Linked DNA regions of Ovis aries. The protein of the gene in region 1 purifies or fractionates together with the protein of each later gene. This does not show direct contact. Links are inferred from orthologs where the notes say so. Each region holds a gene or a part of one and is shown on either strand. Other genes may lie near its edges.

Region 1 (3,749 bases):
GTCAATGTCACGGCTTAATATTTCCCTGTATCATTGTGTTGCGCTGCTCCGCTCCCTGCCTGCCGGGCCTGGACGTCAGGGGACAGGGGCTCCATGGGTGCCGTGGGGGCGTTCTGGGGTCGTGCGCAGCCTGGTGTGGACAGACCTCGGGTCCGCCTGAGTGCGGCCGCAGAATGTGGGTGGGGGCTCCCAGGACCTTTGTAACCCGATGCTGCGAGTGTGCGAGAAGGGGTGGTCAGACATCTGCTCGGAAATTGCTTCCTTTCTTTCTACTTTCAGTTTTTCTACGAGGAGACATTTAAAAACGACACACAAATGGTCTTTTTAAGGTAAAAGAGTCTGGGTTGGAAACGGAATCCTTCCTCTTACTTGGGAAGACCTCCCTGGTGGAAACCCATCAGATCCGAGAGGGCGGGAGCTCCCGCTACTCCGGAGTGGGTGAGCGATGCCTCCCCCCGCGGTGTGGCGGCGGGGGCGAGGGGGCGGGTGAAGTCGCCTACGGAACCCTAAGAATGGGATAAAGAGGTGCTCGCCGCACTTCAGCTTGTCGTCTCCTTGGAGAACAACTTCAGAAGCAAAGCGGCATAATCGTCACTTGCCTTGAATTTTTCAACCGATTGCAACCTGAGCAAAACTCAGCTTCCCCTTAAATAGGGTGAGGGGTGGGGGGAGTAAAGGCTGAGCCTCCAGGGGAAAGCGAAAAGGGGTTGCGCCCCCGGGGCCAGGACTCGAGAACCTTTCCCCACTCCCAGGGTTGTTCCCGAAGTAGGTAGCAGAGGTTGCTCCACTCCCCTTCCAGTTTAAGGTCGGATCCGAATAGCAGCCAGTGACCCCCGGAGCTCACCCCACACACACAACAAAGCGGCGAAGGGGGGGGGGGGTCGCACTCTTCTTTCCCATTCAAGCTGCAATCCAGGACCCAGGGGACCTCTGCTCCACCAACGCTGTGGCCTCCGCCGGACATTCGCCGCTCCGACTGCTTGTCCGAAATTCCCCGGAGCTCCTCGGAATTACCTGCCCCGCAACCTCTGGCTCGCTCGCCTTCCGCCAGGAATTAAAGATACAGACTGCGCGACCCTTGCGGTCTGCGGGCGGAGGGGACCGCGGAGAGCACCGGGCCCCTCACACTCTCTCCATTCAAAATTCTCCTTAAAAGGTGAAGGCCAGTCCTGGGTAAGGGGGCCGAGGAACGAGCCCCCTGAGCCAAGGAACCAGCGGTCGGAGCCAGGCCGAGGGCCACACAGGTAGCGGAGGAGCCGCGGCGAGCGGCGCCGCCCGCCCCCTCCCGCAGGCCCCCTCCCAGCCCCAGTCCTGCCCGCCGCCCGGCGGCGAAGGAAGCGGCGGGGACGTCCCACCCCCGCAGGGAGCTGCGCCCGCCGCCCCCGCCGGGCCCCGCACCGCCCGCCCCGGCTCTCCCCCCTCGCTCCCCGGACTGTCGGCTCCGGCGGAGAGAAACGGGAGCAGCCGTGCCTCCCCCCGTCCCCCGCCCCGTCCACTTTTTTTGTTGTTGTTGTTGCTTTCCCACGCTGGCTGAATGTGACTTGACCCCATTTCAAAAAAGTTTGACAGAGTGCTTCAACATTTCCGCATTCCTCCGCGACTACAAAGGCTGCAGCCGCCTCCTTCTGCTTTCTGTCTCTGCTCTCTGTCTTCACACTCAATGAAATCCTTCATGTGCCTCTCCCGAAGCCTGCCAAGCACCGCAAGGGTCGCCACCACCGCGGCGACCAGAGGCCGCCCCGGGGGACCACGACTCCCGCGTGTACACACACGCAGATGCGCCCACGTGCACACTGACGGGCGCGGGGCTCGGGCCAGGAGGTGTTCACCCCGGGGGCGTGCGTTTTAACGATATTTTAAATTAGGAAAGTAAACTAGGAAACTAAAGCAAGCGTCCATCCTTGCGGGGGGACTTCCAGCCTGGGCACTGGCCGCCGGCGTGTACTCCTCTCTTAAGTGCAGAACACGCCCGCGGGGGCTGCCAGCAAGAAGTCTGCGTTAACATTTATCTCGCGGTGGGGAAGGTGGAGCTCACACCCACACCTCGGCGAGATGGAGGGGGAGCTTTCGTGGGGAAATAAATACAAGGCACCGAAACACATTCTCTCCCGCGTGAGGTTCCCCAAAGCAGTGCATTTTAAACCCTGAATGTAAATTTCTCGGTGAGTTTCCCAGTGGAGCCTGAGTTCCGTTTGAAGGACTGGATAAGAAGTGTTTGTGTGGGTGTTTGTGCGCAAGGCTGTGTGCGAGCAGGCACAGGAGCTCGGCGTTGGGGGGAGTCCCTCGTGTGGGATGTTTCCCTCTAGTCAGATTAGGAGAAACTCCTGTAGCTCCCCCGAAACTGGCCCCTGTAACCACCCCTCCTCGGATCGTAAGGGGTTAACCAAAGCCGATTCCCAGAACCTACCGCCCCCCCTCCCCGCCCCAGTCACCCCCACCCACCCTAGCCGCCGACCCCGGGCCAAGCCCCCAAGTCTTCCCCAAGGACCACCCCCCCACCCTGCACCCTGCCGCCCACCCACCAGAGCGCACAGCGCCTCACCTGAGGGGCCCGGCCGCGGCGGGCCTCGCGAGGGGGCTGCGGGGACCGGTCGACCTTCGCACGTGTCCGCCGCGGCGCGGAGCAGGTAAACCGGCTCGAGGAAGGAGTTAGCGGCGCTCGCTCGGGCGAGGGGGTGGGCACTGCGGCGGAGGGCGGAGGGACGGCGGAGGGCGCCGCCCGCGCGGCGCGCTGGGGGCGGACGGAGGCCGCGGGGCTCCGGCCCGGGCTCGGGGCCCGAGCCGGGGAGGCGGCGGGGGCGGGGTGGGGGGCCCTGGAGGCCGGCGGCCCGCGACCCTCCCGGCGGCCGGGTGGGGGGCTCGCCGCTCAGTGGCCAGCGAGTGTGCAAATTAAAGCCTTCCGGAGAGAGGGGAGGCGGCCGAGCCCCGGCTGTGCTCTGAGCCTCCGGCTCCCCGGCTCTCCGCTCCGAGTGGGGGGCGAGAAAGAGGGGGGAGCTAAATGAAAATTTCCGGCTTTCGCTGCAACTGGAGTGGGGTGACTAAAATAGGAGGCGTGAGAGGGAGAGTGGGATGTGTGGTCGGCAGTCGGCTGAGTTACCAAACCGAGGGTCGCCCAGAGTTGGGGTTTTTGACAGAGTGAGGCAGGCGGGGGGTTTCAGCAGTCAGTGATGTAGACAGATGGGGAAAACACAAAACGACCGATAATAGTCATGAGGGGCCGGTGGGGATGGTAAATACTAACACTTTTCAAGAAACTGAAAAGTCAGATCAAAAAATAACTTTATTTAAAAAAATTGGCAGGACGCCTTGCAGAAAAGAAAATACTAATCTGTCCAAGCACTTTTCACTTTCAGCATGAGCTACATTTGTTTTGTTTTCCTTCGCTTCCTTTCGGCCTCACAAAGCCCTATCTTTTCCTTTTGGACGGAGGATATGATTTGGAAATTGTCTGGCACTCTTGTGGTTAACGATCTACTTGAAGGGGCTGGCCGGCTCACAGTTATTAAGTGATTAGTAACTGCCGAGGGTTCACTAAGGTATTTCTGTGGAGGTAAAAAGCCTAAAATTGACTTTAAGTAACAGAACAGCAAGATAATAGACACACGCACACACACACAAAGAAGAGAGAACACGATTCGATGGGTGCTTACTTTAAATGCATTACTGGACTTCTGAAATTTGAAACTTTGTAAGAATGTATACTTTACCTGCTGAGAAAACCTCAATATTTCAGGTGAAAATTAGATTTT
Region 2 (3,332 bases), on another chromosome or scaffold:
ACTGGCCACCTATGTTTTAAGAGAAATGTCTATTTAGTTCTTTGCCTGTTTTTTGATTGGATTGAGTTGAACGAGCTATTTTGGAAATTCAGCTTACGTCTGTTGCCTCATGTGCAATTATTTTCTCCCTCTTTGACTCTCTCTCATTTTGTTTCTATGGCTTCTAAACTTACCCGTGATGGTTTTAATATCTTCCTATGTATCACAATTGGGCTTCCCTGGTGGCTCAGCTGATAAAAAGAATCTGCATGCAATGCAGGAGACCTGGATTGGGTTGGGAAGATCCCTGGAGAAGGGGATGGCTACCCACTCCAATATTCTGGCCTTGAGAATTCCATGGACTGTATAGTCCACAGGTGTCTTAAGACTCAAGACAAAACTGAGCAGACATGGCTGAACTGACTTTCACTTTATGTACCATGTTATCTACTCAGAATGATGGCAGGCTAAGATTTGTAAAGGGATACATACAGGATAACTCCAAAGGCAGCACTGTATATACTTAAATCTACGAGAGCAGAACTGTGTAAAAAACCTGCATCTTCTTTATTTTCAATACTTTAATTTCAGAACAAAATAAACAAAACACAACACACAACATTCAAACCCCATGTCAAACGTGGAGAGGAATCGGGCGTGAGGCCCATGTATCCTGCCTTAGAAGGACAGAAATAAAACCACTAGACGTCAGCAGAGGGAACCACATGGGCCAGGGCCACAAGGGCGGCTGCTGCTGCAGGAGCCATGGGGACGCTATACAGAGGGAGCAGTCTGCAGGTATAAACTCCTAATCTACTTCTTCCATGCGAGAGGCGTCCTCGTCACCCTCAAGGGGGGGAATCTCATCAGGAACAGCAGCACTGGGCTCCTCTGCCGTCACCTCATCTTCATCAATGCCTAAGAGGAAAGAAACCACATCAGGTAGGCCCCCAAAAGCCTTCAAAAGCGCCTGACACACCTTGCTACTTGAGAGGACAAAGGTACTCACCCAAGCCAAGCTTTATCATGCGGTAGATACGGTTGGAGTGGGTCTGGGGATCCTCAAGCGAGAAGCCAGAGGAGAGCAGTGCAGTTTCGAACAGTAGCACCACCAGGTCCTTGACGGCCTTGTCGTTCTTGTCCGCCTCTGCCTTCTGCCGCAGGGTCTCCACGATGGGGTGGTCAGGGTTGATCTCCAGGTGCTTTTTGGCCATCATGTAGCCCATGGTCGAGTTGTCCCGCAGTGCCTGGGCTTTCATGATGCGCTCCATGTTGGCGGTCCAGCCGTAGGTGCTGGTCACAATGCAGCAGGGTGAGGACACGAGCCTGTTGGAGATCGTCACCTGAGGGTAGGCAGAAAAGCTCATTGTACTGAATCGAATTACCTCCTCAAGGCAAAGATGCTCATCTCTACTCTTTGGGGAAAAGTGTCATCTTTGGTAAGTTCTATAGAAATACCAACCTTAAGAGAACAAGAAGTAGGGTGGCACTAAGCAAATTAAGCTGCCTAAACCACTAACTGTAGCAGCCAAAGATGGGAGGAAACCACTCTGAAGGCATCGCTAACAAGATAACTTTGCTTCACAACGGCTTACCTTCTCCACCTTCTTATCCAAGATCTCCTTCATGAGTTTGCAGAGGTTCTCAAACTTTGCCTTGCTCTCCTCCATCTTCTTCTTCTCCTCCTCATCCTCAGGCAGCTCCAGGCCCTCCTTGGTCACAGAGACCAGACTCTTCCCATCAAACTCCTTGAGCTGCTGTACACAGTACTCGTCGATGGGCTCCGTCATGTACACCACCTCAAAGCCCCGCTTCCGCACGCGCTCCACAAATGCAGAGTTGGCAACCTGCTCTTTGCTCTCACCTGTAGGATTACTCAGTGTGACTCAAGGGCCAAAATGCCTCATCCTGCCAGTTCCCCAGGACCCTTGAGTGTCTGCCCCACACCTCTAAAAAAAGGCTTTTATCAGACCTAGGTTCCAACGTACCAGTGATGTAATAGATGGACTTCTGGGTCTCCTTCATGCGAGACACATATTCTGAGAGAGAAGTCATCTCATCTCCAGACTGGGACGTGTGATAGCGCAGCAGCTCAGAAAGGCGTCGCCGGTTAGTGGAGTCCTCATGGATTCCAAGCTTTATGGGTAGGGGAAAAAAATAATTTTGTTAGGAAATAACTTATCCTCTCAGTGAATGAAAAAAAATCCATTCTAATTATTAAGCAAGTACTTGCTGCTTACCTTCAGGTTTTTAGAGAATGCCTCATAGAATTTCTTATAGTTCTCCTTGTCTTCTGCTAGCTCAGAGAAGAGCTCAAGGCACTTCTTAACAATGTTCTTACGAATAACCTTCAAGATTTTGCTCTGCTGGAGCATTTCTCGGGAGATGTTCAGGGGAAGGTCTTCAGAGTCAACCACCCCACGGATGAAGTCTGAAATCAAAATATGGAAGCTGGGTTTTAAAGATACAGGAGTGGCGGGGATAAAGATAAAAGGTATATAAAGTCATCTGGATTCAACAGAAAGACTGATTTTCTCACCAAACTTTCACTTGTTAGGTTGCAGAGGATCCTTAATCTAAGATAAAGACTCCAGCCCCCGAGAACGCAGAAACGAACTACATTAGGGCAAAAAGATACTCACTGAGATATTCCGGAATCAACTCATCACAGCTGTCCATGATGAACACACGGCGGACATACAGTTTGATATTGTTCTTTTTCTTTTTGTTCTCGAAGAGGTCAAAAGGAGCCCGACGGGGGATGAACAGCAGTGCTCTGAATTCCAGCTGACCTTCTACAGAGAAGTGCTGAAAGAAATCCAAGATAAGCTGACTGTGTACTCAAGAGTGGCTTTTGGTCCCAATACCAAAATGTCCAATTATTTGAAACAAAAACTTCCTATCCCTGTAGAGAAAATTTAAGCCCTAATGCCCTAAATGAATCCAACTGCAAGCACTATATCATCTTTGGGTCAAAGACTCCAGGTGGGTAAAGCCACCAGAGACAGGTCACAGGGGAAGATGTCACTTCTCCACCCTGGAAGGGTCCATTAGCAAATCAACTCATAGCATTCACAGTTCCCAGCTACCAACCAGTTGGGTAAGTTCCATTTGTCCATATCAGCTCCTCCTACTGAGCCAACAAGCAAGACTTCTTACCTTCACTGCCAAGTGATCTTCCCAGTCATTGGTAAGACTCTTGTAGAACTCTCCATATTCCTCCTGGGTGATGTCATCAGGGTTCCTGGTCCAAATGGGCTTGGTTTTGTTCAGTTCTTCCTGATCAATGTACTTCTCCTTTATCTTCTTTGTCTTCTTTTTCTTATCCTTGCCACTATCATCCTCCTCGTCTG

What was found.
Region 2: the proteins of CDK6 (region 1) and HSP90AB1 purify together in Homo sapiens (co-immunoprecipitation; 4 studies listed by BioGRID and IntAct, with this or other methods). This does not show direct contact. The link is inferred for Ovis aries from reciprocal best matches to the Homo sapiens genes CDK6 and HSP90AB1.

Annotation. Positions count from the first base shown.
Region 1 is NC_056057.1:10,942,860-10,946,608, forward strand, and holds the start of CDK6 (cyclin-dependent kinase 6), read right to left. Parts: upstream 2,685-3,749; 5' UTR 2,543-2,684; intron 1-2,542. UniProt on the Homo sapiens protein: Serine/threonine-protein kinase involved in the control of the cell cycle and differentiation; promotes G1/S transition. Phosphorylates pRB/RB1 and NPM1.
Region 2 is NC_056073.1:17,737,505-17,740,836, reverse strand, and holds the end of HSP90AB1 (heat shock protein HSP 90-beta), read right to left. Parts: coding exon 3,139-3,332; intron 2,788-3,138; coding exon 2,622-2,787; intron 2,411-2,621; coding exon 2,220-2,410; intron 2,116-2,219; coding exon 1,968-2,115; intron 1,844-1,967; coding exon 1,575-1,843; intron 1,323-1,574; coding exon 989-1,322; intron 898-988; coding exon 788-897; 3' UTR 524-787; downstream 1-523. UniProt on the Homo sapiens protein: Molecular chaperone that promotes the maturation, structural maintenance and proper regulation of specific target proteins involved for instance in cell cycle control and signal transduction. Undergoes a functional cycle linked to its ATPase activity.